Linked DNA regions of Xenopus tropicalis. The protein of the gene in region 2 purifies or fractionates together with the protein of the main gene of each other region. This does not show direct contact. Links are inferred from orthologs where the notes say so. Each region holds a gene or a part of one and is shown on either strand. Other genes may lie near its edges.

Evidence for each region. The genes of interacting proteins can lie anywhere in the genome.
Region 1: the proteins of pln (region 2) and atp2a1 purify together in Homo sapiens (affinity purification with western blotting, with the first as the bait; 3 studies listed by BioGRID). This does not show direct contact. The link is inferred for Xenopus tropicalis from reciprocal best matches to the Homo sapiens genes PLN and ATP2A1.

What each region holds. Positions count from the first base shown.
Region 1 is NC_030685.2:603,520-611,387, forward strand, and holds part of atp2a1 (sarcoplasmic/endoplasmic reticulum calcium ATPase 1), read right to left. Parts: intron 7,792-7,868; coding exon 7,706-7,791; intron 7,491-7,705; coding exon 7,193-7,490; intron 7,102-7,192; coding exon 6,935-7,101; intron 6,806-6,934; coding exon 6,717-6,805; intron 6,052-6,716; coding exon 5,949-6,051; intron 5,592-5,948; coding exon 5,460-5,591; intron 4,872-5,459; coding exon 4,746-4,871; intron 4,649-4,745; coding exon 4,430-4,648; intron 4,258-4,429; coding exon 3,922-4,257; intron 3,809-3,921; coding exon 3,588-3,808; intron 3,488-3,587; coding exon 3,285-3,487; intron 3,173-3,284; coding exon 3,087-3,172; intron 2,756-3,086; coding exon 2,622-2,755; intron 2,498-2,621; coding exon 2,380-2,497; intron 2,099-2,379; coding exon 1,981-2,098; intron 1,125-1,980; coding exon 1,120-1,124; 3' UTR 1,084-1,119; intron 1-1,083. UniProt on the Homo sapiens protein: Key regulator of striated muscle performance by acting as the major Ca(2+) ATPase responsible for the reuptake of cytosolic Ca(2+) into the sarcoplasmic reticulum.
Region 2 is NC_030681.2:73,813,842-73,822,357, forward strand, and holds the start of pln (cardiac phospholamban), read right to left. Parts: upstream 4,276-8,516; 5' UTR 4,169-4,275; intron 233-4,168; exon of another isoform or gene 201-232; 5' UTR 83-200; coding exon 1-82. UniProt on the Homo sapiens protein: Reversibly inhibits the activity of ATP2A2/SERCA2 in cardiac sarcoplasmic reticulum by decreasing the apparent affinity of the ATPase for Ca(2+).

The DNA.
Region 1 (7,868 bases), on a different chromosome or scaffold from region 2:
CAGACGTAACACACTAATGAAGGTGCCAGTCGGTGTTGCACATTGGGGTGCACATTGGGGTGCCAAGTCTTTACTGAAACTGGCCACGAGTCTTGCACGAGCATTGCATAAATCAGCTGCGGCAGTAAATGTGAGCAAAGAACCACTGAACATGAGGCCACATAAGAACACAAAGACATATAGTGCAGAGGCACGTGGCACAGCATAGCCGCCAATATGCACAATGACACCCCCATTTTGCCTTAGCACAGAAACAGGAGGCACAGGAGCAACACGTTTTGCTACACTGGAACCATTAGCTGAAAGGACAGAGAAAGCTGGCGTGGAAGTGTCTGTGGAGGGAGAGTAGTTACAGGGAGTGCTATTCAGTGGAGGGACTGTACTAGGTAAGGGGAATAAAGAGAAATATATCATAATAAAGAACATCAAGTGGAAACCACAGGTGCTCAGAGTGCGTTGCTTCCCCAGTAGGGTACAAAGTGAAGTAGAAAAGTCTTGGTAGGCCATAGTAATTGATTAGTTAGAAACCATACATACTTGTTATGACCTTCTGCATTGGGCTGGGGAAAGGTCAAAGTGACCAGAAGAAGATTGAATGCATGGGTAACAAATAGTAAGTGGTTAGTAGGACCATGGTCATGGGCGGTGAGGCTATCATCCTGGGGAAGGAGCTAAGGGAATGGCAGGTAGCCTTGCTGAACTGCTCTGGCACAGGTGCGCCAAAGTGGCCAAAGTGAACAGGCAGCAGGATGGCAGTGACTAGGAAGTGTCATGGTAGTCAATGGGAAGTCTAACGTTAGGGAGCAGGAAGTATGGTGGCATTGTAGGATAGGCCAGATGCTCATGGAGGGGAAGCTTGTGGTGAATTGTCTACAAAGTGGCATGGAAGTGTCACAGGAACTGATGGTGAGTCCCTTATGGTCACATACAGGGAGCCAGGGAACCACCAGGACATGTACAGAAGCCAACACATCTAGGTTGTGATGGGGAAACATAGTGGGGAGGAATAAAAATGGGACACCAGAAAGCCTGCAGCACAACATAAAGATGGCTGAGACAGGAAGCGCAAGAATTATGGGATACCTCTTAGGCAGGAACAAGGTGGTGGAGTGGTAAAGATTATGCTAAGGGAAAGGATAAAAAGGTTAGGGATTAATCATGAAAAGAAATAATGATGTTGATGCTTATGAGATATAACATTAAGGGGAACCGAAACCAAATATGTAATAAAAAAAACACATTGAAATAAAATTAAAATCATTGTTCCTATAAACCCACATAAATATTATTAGACCAGTTTGATGTCCCTCACACCTCATCCTCAAGTCTGTGCTTTGGTCATTAGGTAAGGTTGGTGACCCTGGGTGCCTTCTACCTGTAATGCTACTGTCTGGCACCAGGGATTTAGCCTCTTCACTCTGGGATGCACGGGTTAATCTGACCTGTGCAGCTCAACGTAGTGTTGATGTTCAACCCTGAGCTTTGCTGAGTCTATGGGATCTTCACACCACTAAAGGTCCACACATAAGGTCTTGCAGCAAAGAGGTCAGCAATGGGCTTTATCATAGCAAGAACAAGGCTTCAGAAGAATGGCTTCTGGTGGATCTTGCATGAATTCATCAACAACTATTGTTCTAGGCATGGGCAGGGGTTGGACAGATATGGATATTGGGTTGGTACCAACCCTGACTATTCCATTTTGAAGCCAGGAAGAAGGTTTAGACAAGACTATTACTGTTCCAGCCAATTATTAGAACAGATTGTTGGGGTTACTGAGATAAGGAGGGAGAAGAAATCATCCAAAGAGATGAGTATTGGGCTTGCCCAGTTTCTACACCCAGCAGGCAAGCTGTACAATGCAGATATCAGTGCTACTTTGAGATATATTGTACATACGGCACGTGGTGGCCTCAAAGATTCTTTTAGAAATGGTGATTGGAAATGCTGCCAACTGTGGCAAAAGGATGAGCTGGGACTTACCTTCCAGGTAGTTACGAGCAACAAATTTCAACAGTTCATCCAACAGGATGACAGGGATGGAAATCTTCAGGACAACAAACCACTGAGTGAAGTTCAGAGGAGTCAACTTGAAGATCATCTGTAGAGAAGAACGTTGGCAGTGAACTCAGGGAATCAAATGCTCTAGGGTTAAATGTCCAACGGTGGTTTGTATAATGCTCATCAACATCATATAGAATATACGTTGTACTCATGTGATTCTGTTTGAGCCAATCACTGTATTTCACTATCTCAAATTGTTTTACTAAAAGATAATGCAGCTCTACAGACAAAATGATGTGGGGACAACTCTCCAAAAGCTCAATGGCAGTAGAATAATATAAAGAATTACTTAGAGACAGAGAAGGTCTATGTACTTACTGGAAGTGGCTCAACATAGAGGATAAGGAAGTGGAGGGACATGGACAAGCAGATAGAGCCCAACAGCCAGATGTTCACCCATGGGGGCATCCTGACCAGAGACTGGTTCTCTGACAGACTGTAGGGGAAAAGATCAGAATTAGGAACAACAATTAAATGAGATATGGGAAATAGGGCTTTAAGCGAGAGAGAGGAAGGGACATAGATATGACACCAGAAGGAAGGTATGAAATGGTTCTTACCTGTTGAGGGCATTGCACATTTCAATGGTGACCAGCACAGACAGAGCCATGGTCATGGGTACAGGAGACTCAAAGATTTCACACTCCAGACCCTCAAAGTCAGCATTTTCCTCAGTGCACTGCATGAAATGGCTCTAAAGTAAGAATATCAAAAACATGTCAGTAGCTGGAAAATCTACTAGGAATCTACTAGGAAATGAAGTCTACGGATGGAAAATTATTGACTGAACCATCTGGAAAGCTATTGTTTTAGTGCAAAATCAGCATGGTCATTTGTTCTACAGTAGATAGCGCGCCACCTTAACAAGATCTTCTCCAACTTTACATTCTAGATAGAGAATAAAAGCTAAAAGAATGTAGATTTGGAACTGTTTGGAAGAAGACAGTAAGGATAATGATGTAGAGAAACTGGGTAAGTGGGAGAAAGGGTGGCACAGGATTGGCAATGAGAAAAGGCATCCTCACCAGCTGGTAGAAAGTAACTTCAGGTCCATCATCGGCATACATGAACCACCAGGCAGCTGCTCCAACAGTGGCGGCACCCACATAACCTACAGATACAAAGTGAACCAATGAAGAGTCATGGTACAGACCCATTATATTTTAAGTATCTGTAGTGAGATAACTGAGGAAGCTGCAGTGATAGATGGCACGCATCATTACCTCCAATGGCCAAGTAACGGAAGAAAAGCCATCCACTGATCAGGGGCTCCTTGGGGCTACGAGGTGGCCTGTCCATAATGTCAAGATCTGGGGGGTTAAAGCCCAGGGCTGTGGCTGGCAGACCATCTGTGACCAGGTTGACCCACAGCAGTTGAACAGGGATCAGAGCTTCAGGAAGACCCAGAGCAGCAGTCAAGAAGATACTATAGAGTGGAGATGGGTAAAACAGGACCAGTAAGGGGTTTTGCCCTAATGCACTTTTTCTTATAGCAGAACTTCAACAGAGACCCTGTTTGTACTCACCAGACAACCTCTCCTACATTGGAAGAGATGAGGTAGCGGATAAACTGCTTCATGTTGTTGTAGATGGCACGGCCTTCTTCTACTGCAGCCACAATTGTGGAGAAGTTGTCATCGGCCAACACCATCTCAGAGGCTGTCTTGGCCACAGCAGTACCAGAGCCCATAGCAATACCAATCTCAGCCTTTTTCAGAGCTGGGGCATCATTCACACCATCACCAGTCTGTGAAAGTAAAAATTAGACAGTGACTTATGCATCAAGAGACGGCACCAGAATGGGATGTATTGCTTTAGAGGCTTTACTATAGGGTTGTATTGAGCTTCCCCAGCACTCACCATAGCTGTGATCTCATCGAAGGATTGCAGGAACTCTACGATCTTGGACTTGTGTGTGGGCTCCACTCTGGCAAAGCAGGAAGCACGCTTGCAGGCCTCTCTTTGTTCTGTAGGGGGCAGGTCATCAAACTCACGTCCAGTGAAGGCACATCTAGACACATCGTCATCCTCACCGAAGATGCCAATACGACGGCAGATGGCAATGGCTGTTCCTTTGTTGTCACCAGTGATCATAATGACACGGATACCAGCCTCACGACAGAGCTTGATTGAGCCCATGACTTCTTTACGAGGGGGGTCCAACATGCCCACGCAACCAACGAAGGTGAGATCAGTCTGAAGGAAGAGAGTAATGGTCAATGATAGTTGCTTCCAACTTTACCGATACCTCATTGATACCTCATTGCCCTCTTACGCTTAGCAGAGGAGTTTTGTTCGTGTGAATGATTCAAGGTTTTGATGGGTTGAAGAAAATAAATAAAGCTAGATTATAAAATGTAAACTCTACCTCATAGTCAACAAACTTGGTGGCGTCATCGAGCACCATCTCTTCCCTTTTGGGTGGGGTGTCCCTTGTAGCCAGAGCAAGACAACGCAGAGTGTCTCTGCCGGTTCCCCATTCCTTGATCACAGTCAGAATCTTATCCTTGATGGCTGGAGTAAGTGGAACGCGGGTTGTGCCCACACGTACGTAGTTGCACCTGTCAATGACACCCTCTGGGGCACCCTGTCATAGGGAAGAGTACATATAGATTGAAGGTTGAGAAAAGGGGGTGCAGCTATATAGAATGTATTGTACTGATAGTAATATCCCAAAATGTCACCTTCACAAACATCTTGTTGCCAACGGCAGCGCGGGAAGCTTTGGCTGGGGTGCAGTAGACGGACATTGACTTCCTGTCACGGGAGAACTCCAGGGTGAACTCTTTCTTCATCAACTGCTTGATCACCTGTGGATGTGGGGGTAATTTTTCTGTTAACAACAGAGCATTGTGGGACGTTCATTTGTTTTTGTGCCATTATAATGTACATTATAGCATCAAGAGACTTTAGTTCCAAAACAAGCACATGTTGGTCAGCAATAGCCCAGAATCCTTAGGGTGGTGAAGCCTTGGAAAGACCTGGCCCCAGGCTTACTAGGCTGGAGTTACATGACACTCTGCTGGCTCTATATAATTCTACAATGGCAGCTGCTTGGGGTAGTAGGTTACAACATGCTATCATTAAGTTTCTTGGTCATGACAAGTAGGAGGCAGGTGCATGGTGTAGAAACGTTGATGATACATTGCAGGCAGCCTGTTGCATAATAGGGTATCAATAACAGTACCGGGCTGGCAGCTGGTGTAACATATCCCATGAGGTGGAGTATTTATGGGTATGAGAAAGTTATATGGCCATGGTAGTTGGGGAAATGTGGGCACCATGAAAGGGTAATGGTTTTGTTGTAGGGATTTGAAGTAGTAGGCCCTTTGTGAGCGGGCTTGTACATTCTATATTGACCGATGGCGCTAGAGCTCCACAATGGCGCCGGTACTCACAGAGTTGCAGGCGTTGGCGCGCTCCACTTTGGACAGGCTCCTCACTTCTGTGTTGAACACATTCATTTTCTCAACAAGAGTTGTCAGTGCAGTCTCGGTGGCTTCTCCAACCTTCTCAAAGACTCCTTTGGACTGTCAGAGAAATATGGAAGGTCAGTCTGACTTTCTATGCTGAGGCTTAGAATAAGCATAAACCTCACTCTCTGTACATGTCAATGTATCAAATGTCAAAAGGCCTAGAGCTAAAACAGAATCACAACATGTCTAAGCCCATAATATACCTCCTATGGGTCCAGATTCTACAGCTTGAGTATGGAAATCATAAAATGGAGCAGTTCTGGCCCAGAACCTTTCCAATTAACTACAACAACCTTTCCAGTATCTTTATGTTAACTTAGTATTGCTCTAGAACTTGCCCATCACAGAATGTAACCAATTAGGGATAAGAGAACATCTAAACATGGGGATATTCATCATCTCTGATTTTACCTCATTGTAGTCGAGAGAAGAGTCATTGCAAAGTGCACAGATTGTGGCCAATTCAACCAGCCCATCATACTGGCCAGCTTTCACGGACTTATCGTTCTTCAGACTGAGAGACAGAGGTTGGAAAGAACATGGCAGTGCAGGGTGACATGAAGGAAAGGTCGGTATAGGAAAAGAAAAAGAAAGAAAATGAAGAAATGAGGATTGTGAAGTTGAGAAAAAAATGGAGAGATAAACATGGATAATAAAGTGTGAATGGGATTTGGGAGATATGATGCTACTAGCCATAGGAAGCAGAGAAAATAGAGGAGAGTGTGTAAAAAGATTAAAATGTTGGATGAAACCATGAAAGGGGTTGATGGAAGGTCAGTGAGAACTTTCTCTTCTCTCCTAGTCACCCCAACAGCCCTCAGCACAGAGACACTATATGTCAGGGAACCCCAACCTTTCTGTGAGCCACAGTCACATGTAAAAAGACTTGGACACAAGCACCATAACAGTTCATGGAGGAGCCAAATAAGGGCTGTGATTGGCTATTAAGCAGCCTCTATGCACCCTATCAGCTTACAGGGGGCTCTATTTGGTAGGAAATCTTGTTTTTATTCAACCAAAAGTCAGGAATTCAAAAATAACTAGCTGGTTTGGGCAACATGTTGCCCCCAAGCCAATGGTTGGGGATCACTGCTATATGTGGTATGTTCCATTGAGACCCAAACAGGGTTGGAGAAAAGATGTGTTGAGCTGTGTATGTAAAAGACAATAAGTACTCACACTTCTCCCTCTGGGGCATAGGTGGATCCTGTGATGGAGAATTCATTCAAGGAGCAGATGTCACCATCAACTTTGTCGAGCACGAACATCTAGGGTCAAGAAAACAGTTTTTAGGTTTTGCAATTGATGGACCATGGAATTGCAACTGGACTAGAAGTCTATTGAATGGGATAACCTGGTGATAATCTAGGTATTTAATAACATAAGGCTGAACTTACTCTGCACACAGACATCTGGTTGGTGGTCAAGGTGCCAGTCTTGTCTGAGCAGATGACAGAAGTGCAACCCAAGGTTTCTACAGAGGGCAAACTCCTCACAATAGCGTTCTTCTTGGCCATACGTCTTGTACCCAGAGCCAGACAAGTGGTGATTACAGCTGGAAGACCTGTCCATGGAAATGAATTGTGATTAGATTCACACTGAATTAAACTGCCCCACGTGTGCAGTGTTATATATCGGGGCAATAAGAGACCTACCCTCAGGGATAGCAGCAACAGCCAAGGCCACAGCAATCTTGAAGTAGTAAATGGCGCCCTTGATCCAAGAGCCACCGTGGATGGGGTCATTGAAGTGTCCAATGTTGATCAACCACACAGCAACGCAGATGAGAGAGATGACTTTGGACAATTGCTCTCCAAACTCATCCAGTTTCTGCTGCAGGGGGGTCTTTTCCTGTTCTGTTGCCGCCATCTCATCACGGATCTTGCCAATTTCTGTATTGGGTCCTGTGGCAATGACAACACCAATGGCCTTGCCAGCTCCAACATTGGTACCCTGGGGAATTAGAAAACAATGAGAATGGGTCAGAAAGAAGTTCAAGTCCAACTACCACTGTTAGACTCCTGCACTCTAAGAACGCCCTCAGCCAACTGAAGCTCCTCAACTTGAAATCACGAGTCTTAACATACTCAAACAGGTTTAGTAACGGAACCCTATCATTGCAAATGTGGGAAAGGTGAGATGCAATTATGGTAAATGGAATTACTCACAGAGAACAGCATGTTCTTCTTATCCTGGTTGACAGCTCTGGGGTCAGGGACAGCTTCGGTGTGCTTGATGACAGAGACAGACTCTCCTGCAAGTGACAGACATTTGAGGTTAAATATCCAAGGACAGAGAAGACATGAAATGGAGGTTTACAAGGCAAAGTCT
Region 2 (8,516 bases):
GGTTTTGCCGGGTCTGTGGGTTGACCTCAATGTTTGAGGCTCTCCTCATAGCCGAGCGGGTTATGTGCTGGACCTTCTCCATGGCTACACGAGAGGGCAGAGAGGTGCAGGTGACAGATTATAGTGCAGTGCAGACAGAGAGAAAGTTGTGTCCGTGTTCGTTGAAAAGAAAGGGCCTGAATCTTCTCCCTCACTTGAAGCTGGGTAAGTAGTAGAGTGGAGAGTTAGGGACCTTAAAGTGCAAGTAAATCATGCAAGTTACTAAGCATCACTGCTCCATGCAGACTCCACACTACGGCTGATGCGTGCACCATAAAAATATGTTATTTTAGTTTACAGATAACTTGTTACTTCTCAGACTAGCTTTGCATATTGTAAAATATATAAATGTTAGCACAAGAGAGAAAGTAAGTCCCCAAGGATCATAAAAACACACATTTCTTATAGGGTCAAAGTACCTCCCAGTGATCTCTTTCTCATGGTCAGAACTTATATTACAGTGCTACATTCTATATAGAAGAAATGTAATCAATCTGTAAAACACACAACATTATTCCTGTAAACACAGGAATGCTCTCTTAAACCAGTTACCTATCATCATTGCTTTCATTAATCAAACAGCAGAAAATCTGTCATCTCTAACTGCTGATTAGTTGCCATTTATGTCAAGTGAATGCAATAATATATACATGTGATTATTGTTATAGTTATTTATTAACAGACACATCTGCTTCTCCGCTGTTATTTTTGTTTTCTGTTTTTATTTCTCTACATTTTTTTAGCCTTAAGGTGAATATTTGGTTTTAAATTAGTCTTTTTGTGAGATACTGCTGCTTGATTTTACATTCCATATTAGGTTAAGAAAACTCAGTCGGTCTGGGCTGTTGAGCATTCCAGTTTTGACTGGGATTTCAACGCTAATCTTATGGAGAGATACAAACCAGAGGTATATACTGCTGTGTTTATAGGTATGCAGTGGTCTGCACTATATATTAGCAGGCTGCTTGACACCATAGTAATAAACGGTCCTTATGTGGTTGACTGTTCAGTGAAACTAAAGTGGGACAAAAATAAAGATAAAAATTCTTCATAATTCTAGCAAGCAGCCCCAGTGTCTGTGGTCCCTTGTATGCTACTTGTGTGTCCTGTATGTTCATGCACTAGAAGAACAAGTAACAGTACCAAGAGCTACTCCATGTACCTACAGCCTGTACCTTTATTATAATAAAGGCCAGAACACACAAGGCCACGCTGTGTACCAACTACACAAGTTACTGAGCTTTCTAGAGATATATAATTTGAAGCTTGAAACTTGTAGGAGGACACTAGACTGGAAACTTTCTGCCAGAGAGTATTGGGGGTGCATGGCATGTACACATGATATGCTGCTAGCTAAAGGATCAGCTAACAAAAAAAAAAAAAAAGTCTTAATTCATGTTATATCAGGAAAGAGTTGTATACTATGAGTTATTTGCATCCTCTGAAATATTTTAACACAAAAATCAAACTACACACAATTCTAAATGCATATGTGTAGCCCATTTATATCACAGGCTCATTCAGATATGTCCATGAAGCAAAAAATAACTTAGAGGACTGCATCTAGCCCATGGGCCTCCAGCTGGACAGACCGTTTGATGTGCAGATTACCAAAAGTAAATATCTACTGAATTTCAAATTCATTGTAGTGTAGAGGCATTGTACTGATGAGTTAAGGTTATAAGTTATATACTGTTTTTAGAAAAAGATACTTGTTTCCATTTTTGTGTAAGATCCTTGTCTGAGAGATGATTCATTATTAAAGCTATTGCTTAGTAAAGCCTAGGAGGCATTCCAGCATTTGTCTTGATTTTTTTGGCCAGCAAAAGTATAATTTTTTTTCCCATTCGGCTCTTCACATAAGATACGTTTGTAAAAGGTCATGGTTAAATAAATTCAAGTGAACAAACACAAGTAAGTTCATTCATGAAGCTTACAGTGACAGCAAAGTGTAATAAGGGTGTATTCTTTTTATTATTGTAATAAACTTTTACATTTGTCTTTCAAAACAATTTTATCATGCTTTATATAGGAGGTGGGTTAACCCACTTATTAAAATGTTTCTTTTCCACTATTTTTTTTTTTTTTTTTTTAAACTTGAAATCGTTACAAAGAAATAAAATAAGGCTGATGCAAGAATGCCCCTTCATAGTTTACTAAAGCCCTTGGGTAGGCTAAAGATCATATTGGATTTGGAAAAGGTCACCAGTGGAGAAATTATGAAACTATTTGTGCTGTTTGTTATGTGGGATAGCTTGTACTCCCTGAGCCATGGCCAATAGTCCCTTACTCCGCCTGGCTCTTGAAATTATTCCTGGTAAACAAAAGGATTATGTTATTAGGTATTAACTACTGCTTGGCCAGGAATGTCACAAACAACACTCCCCTCTAAAGTAAAGTATTTCATGATCTTGGGCTAGCCATTAAGTCAAATTCTGGAGGTTTGTAGATTGCCCAAACTTGGCCTTACTTCTTATGTAAAAGCAACATTTGGATGCAGATTGCTGCATTGGATTTTAACCACATTTGTTTTATTTGCATTTGAAGGATATCTAGTTTGATGGCACACAGTGTGATTTTTATTTTACCCTTTTTATCTGGTTGAAAAGCACCCAAAATCAGCTCCTCCCTTTGACATGAAAGTTTCATGAAAAGACTGCAACATTATAATTAGTGTTGTACATGCAGGTAAAATACAGCTAATATATAGCTGAATATCCATCTAAAAATAGAAGAAATTATTACACTTATAAATTATTGTGTATTTCCACAATATTTGTTTCAATCTATATATGTATCACATACCCTGAAGAAGGAAGGTCATACCCCCTTGGTCACTATTGGTGTTGGGTAAATTAAAATTGGACTGTTTGAGTCCTGATCTTTTATTTAAATGGTAAATGGCTGGCCAGGTATCCAGGGAACATGTTGCACCACCAACAGTGACTATTTATAGTGGTATTTATATTTTGCATAATGAGCCATTTTGATGTTCTATATTCTGTGTTGCCTGCTGGTGAACTGAGCTGAAACATGTCATGCTGATCTGAAGATGCACTCCCTCTGGACAGTGTTCATCTGTGGTAAATGTGTACACTGGGAAGTGCATCACCAACAGCAAGACAAATGCCTGTATATACAGAGCTTAAAGAAAACAACTAGCTAAAGCTTTGCTCATTTATATACAGGGTGCAAAGTCTCAAGACTCTATCTCTTTAAAATTGCTCGTCTGCAGATCTAAACAGAGTAAGCAATTACAGTGAGCCATAGAGCATTCAAAAAGTTGCTATGTGGGCCACTTTTTGCCCTTGTGATACTATATAGGAAATATAGGCTATGGTGCTCAGACTTACTTTCCAGTTTCCAACACTCTACTAAAATATTTCCCCCTACTTTTTTTTTCTTTGTGCTGTAATGCCTCAATTACATTTCCTTCCATAGTTTTTGGCTTGGTTTCCAGGCTAAATGCCTATGAGAACCTTTCTCATTAACATTTTGACCTCCCCATGCTATCACAAACATGCTTCCCAGCATTAGAAATACATGACTATTTCCAGTGTTTATTTGCATTCAGCAGCCCTAAAAATAATACATCTGAAGTTCCAAGACATGGGGAACTGATGAGTTTGACAAATGTATTCCATTATTCTATTGACATACATTAAAGTATTTTCTTACAATAAATATAATTTACATTATATACTGTTCTACAGACGTCAAAGAGCCCATCCAGCTGTTAAAAGCTATATTTCCCAGAACCCCCTAGAATGCTGGCAGCTGTCTGTTAAAAGAGCAATATTTTTACAGCCCACAAGGGACATAATTGTCTGTGAGACAGTCAGCTAAATATAATATGGATGCTGCATATCTTTGCAAATAATCCCAAGCTTATACAACTGGTTGTAATACCTTTCTTTTTCTTTTATTAGCTGAAAATAGGAATTCCAAATAAATGAATTGCAGACTGAAAATTAAAACCTACTCATATCACTTACATGTAAATTAGATGACAATTTTAGTTGCAGACTGAAATGTATGTATCAGGATAAAGCTGCTTTGATCTGCAAGCCAACATGCAAAGCATGTTAAAAAGCAATATTATTTAGTTTCACAGTGCAGATGCCCTTACCTTATTGAAATTTTGTTGTTAGTAAGTAGTTTTGCAGTGGGAAGTGTTCGGCAGCTTGCCTTGAGCTCAGTGGCAGGGCTGGGGGCTGTCGCTCAGTTTATTACAACAATTGAGGAGGTGTGGAAATGAGAGAGTGAGGGGTGGTTGGAAGCAGAATCGCAGTGAGAGGCAGGACTCCTGATATTTGGAAAGAATTTTGCAGTTTGTTGTTAAGATTGGCTGTGGTTTCCTTCCTTAGAATTAATCAAAAGTTCCCTTAGAGTGAGATGAACTGATAAAACATAATAATTGTTATGTGCCTGCAAGTTCTCTGTTGCAGTTCTTCCCATAAACGAATGGGCTATTTGATTGACATAGTTCTAAAAATGCAAATCAACTGTTGTTTACCTAATTATCTGCACTAAAGTTTTTGGATAAAAGCTGTAAGAAAATACTAGCTTAAGATAAAACATGTTCATTTGGGACCACTAATATAATTATAGATTATATTTTTTGTGTATGTGAAATCTTGCATTTGTTTTACCGACTTCTCTTTCTGTTCTGCTACAAGTGGTTGTGTACTTGTTTCTTCTTATTAACAATGGACTTTGCAGAAAAATGTATTGTCACACTTGTGTGAAAAAGCTTTATTGTGGCAGTTAAAATGCAAAGTATTTCTTAATGGCAAGCATTATTAACAAGCCATGTAAAGGTTTAGGGCTCTGGCACACGGGGAGATTAGTCGCCCGCGGCAAAACTCCCTGTTCGCGGGTGACTTACATGTTCGCCGGTGGGATGCAGGGGGAAGGCAACTCGGAGAGATTGGTCGCCCGCGAACATGGAGTTTTGCCGCGGGCGACTAATCTCCCCGTGTGCCAGAGCCCTTAGGAGTGGTCCCAAACCACTGGTTTGGGAGCAAAATGTTGTTTACCAGCCCCATAGATATTGCTCCCAGTTGCCCCAGAGAAGGTGCTTATTTTTAAATTTCTGCCTTGGTTTAGTTGCATAAAACCAGGTGTACTGCCAAACAGACTCTCCTGTAGGCTACTAGTCCACATATGGGATCTCAAATGACCAATCATAGTCCTTATTTAGTACCCCAGGTGCATATTTTTATGCTTGTTTTCCTCCCCAAATCTTTTTACATTTGAAAGTGTCTAATGACCCCTGGCTTAGGATATAGAGATGAACTAATTAACCATAATTCTGAGTGATCTGTCAGGTGTTATTACATTAAAGAAATCTTAGTAGGTGGTGGTAACTGCTCTATTGAGGGGTATGCCATTTTGAAAAATAATAATAGTCAATTTGAATAAGGCTGGAAATCTCAACTGGGAAAAAAATAAATTAAATAAACTTAATTGAGACAGTTCCCACTGACATCTATAGAAACTTTGCTTAGGAACTATTTAAGCTTTCAAAAAATGTTCTTGAGTATAATCATGTACACAGTTTTTTTATGTGTCCTTTTGTAGTTGTAGTGTACCCTGTTATAAAGTGGTGTTTATTCTGCCTTTTTAGTTCTAACAACAGCCCTATCTTGCTTTATGGCACATAAAGGATGAATATCAGAGGAATTATTCCTCAAGACTCCTGACAAACTCTGTACTCTTTATCTGCTAGCTAGAAAGGACCATGATACAATTTATAAGAAGAGTAACAGAAAATGAGTTTCTAAGGCATACAAAAAAATTTCAATATATAAGTAATACATTTATAAGGTCATTGAAAATAAGACAGTATAAGTTAAGCAATTGGATAATTAAATATGATGAAAATTAACCTTTTATGCTGTGTTACAATATCATTACATTTTCACTTGAAAGTCTGCATGTTTAGTAGAATAGATTTGTGCAGAAGTGACAGAGAATCCTAGTCCTAATGTAATGTCAGCTCAAAGCTGCCTTTTCATACCTTCCCTAAAAAGGAAAATTCATTAATGCTAGTACATTAAACAGAAAATGAGTAGACTGCAGTTTCAGGCACACTTGGGACCATTAGTCCTTTAGAATTTCAGAGACATGGACAGTGTTGGAGGTATATAGTAGGCAGAAGTGTATGTCATTAAATATAATCTCTTGGAAAACATTACCATGCAGTTGTCGTTATGGGTCTGTCCCAAGAAACTGGGTATAGTTAGTAACAAGGAATGGAGTATCAATGGATTTCATTTTCCCCCCCCCCCAATAACAGGAATGGTTTGATGATCCATGTTCCTTTAAGAATGCCCTTCTTGCTTTTTGGTACAGCTAATATCCTGAGATACACTGCGTTGTAACTTGCATGATCTAACTGTGACTGATTTGTGCTTTGTATAATTTGTTTGCATTAATAAAGCAGCACTGCATGCAGTTGCACAGCTGCATTCACATAATTTATTGTCACTCTTTCACCTCTCCCATTAGTGACAGTGCCTAAAAATAGGAGACTGGGGGGGATCTCCACATGTGAAGTGTTTTACATGCAGCAATCTGGTTAAATTGCAGGAAAATGGAATCTTCCACATTTTGCCATGATTAAGCTGCATTGCAACTTGTTATGTGTTTTACATGTAGTGACCCCCAGTATCTTGAACTAAAAAAATATTTTAGGAAACTTGGTGGCTGCTGGAATTTGACAAATTGTTGTTAGTCATAAACCCTACAGGACAAGGAAAGCCTCCATCACTGAGGGCTGTCAGTATGTTAGGCACCACCTAGTAGATGCAATCACTCATTTTTTTTTTCATGACCTGTGCTTCTTTTAGAAAAAAAAAACACAGCACCACTCACACACTCTTTAGTGCACACTAAACACTTGTGTTACTCTACTGCACATGTGCAGAGTATGCACTCCTGGGAAAGATAAGTAAGATTTCTGTCCTAAATGGAGCACCGACCGACCCCTAGGTAGAAACTTGGCAATTGCATTCTATTCTAGAGGGCTGTGTGCCTAAGTAGCGTTTCATAGTTAATTTCATGTGCTGTACAGCAGTGGTTTGGTGCTGGCCCAATACCCACAAGATCTAGAGCGTTCGGGTGCACCCTACTTTCTGGCTAGATCGGGCAAATGAGGTTAAGGATCCTTCCCACTGCTCCTTTTCCCCAGTCCTCTGATAAACTGCCCCGTTCAAATGCCACTGTCACATTTAATTTCTATACTTACGCTGCCCACTTTGTGATGTCAGACATGGATATATAAGTAATTGCATCAGTAATTACTATAGTTGTGGTGCAAGTTGCGTGTATAGCTAACACACTTATTACAGTAAAGAAAGTTGACAGCATATGGATACAATCTGTACTCATTTTAGATGGGAGCTAGAGTTAGCTTTATTTTTTTTGTTCTACTGTAGTTATTGGTTTTCTGCAATATCTGAAAACGTTTAACTTTCTGGTTTAATGAGAAAACCTCAACATCCCTTTTGTGCCTACATCCTTATACAGTGGGCAAGCGTGTTGTCTTTTATAAATCTGATAAAGTTTGGAACTTTTTTGTGTGTGTATGTGTGTGAGAGAGATGTTTGATAACTAGTTTTTCTCTTTAGGAAAGTCTTTCCTCACACACAGATTACAAATGCAGTCAGCAAATAATCACACTAAGCATTTTGCATATATTATTCCATGGCTTCCATACACTCTCCCTTTGTACTAGTTGGTTTCACTGATCAGTTCCCAGGTTGGATTGGTAGACTGTAAATATTTTGAGATCCATCTGTCTGCACCTAATTGTGTGTGTTGTGTCACGAATGAGAGCTTAGGAAGATGAATGGCTTCTTTGCAAGGTCAGATAAAGAGTGACATTGATAGATGTGTGGAAGGAACTTATCTTCATTTGTTGGTGTGATTTTCTTCGTAGATTCTCTCAGTCCTTCAAAAAAAATGGAACAATATCTGTCCAGATCTATGAAAGGCAGGCTACATTTGATTACAGCATGCATGGGGCTATGCAGGGTCATATTTTTTTATTTGTGCACCCAGGGGCCCCTGCCTAGGGTGGCAGCTTTTGAACACATGCAGGTAAATCTGATGGCAGAGGTGGGGACTCAGGCTGTATTGTGCATGCACTAATCAGTGAGGGAAAGGGGGTGTTTGGAGGTCCGTTGCCTAAAGCAGCATGGGATTCAAATACAGCACTGGGCATGTGGTCAGCACAGGACCAGACTATAAGAGGCACACATGATTGGCACCAAGGTTGTTTAAAGTTCAATGTAAAACTTATTTTGAATTTCAACTCCCATTTATTTTTACAGATTATATATAAAGCAAAACTTTTGTAATACTCTCAAGTATCTTGGTGGATGCAGCTACATCTGTTCCCTGAGTCACAGAAGTGTGAGACTGTGACAGGCACACGCATATAGGGGGAGTCCTAAATGGTTTTCAAATGA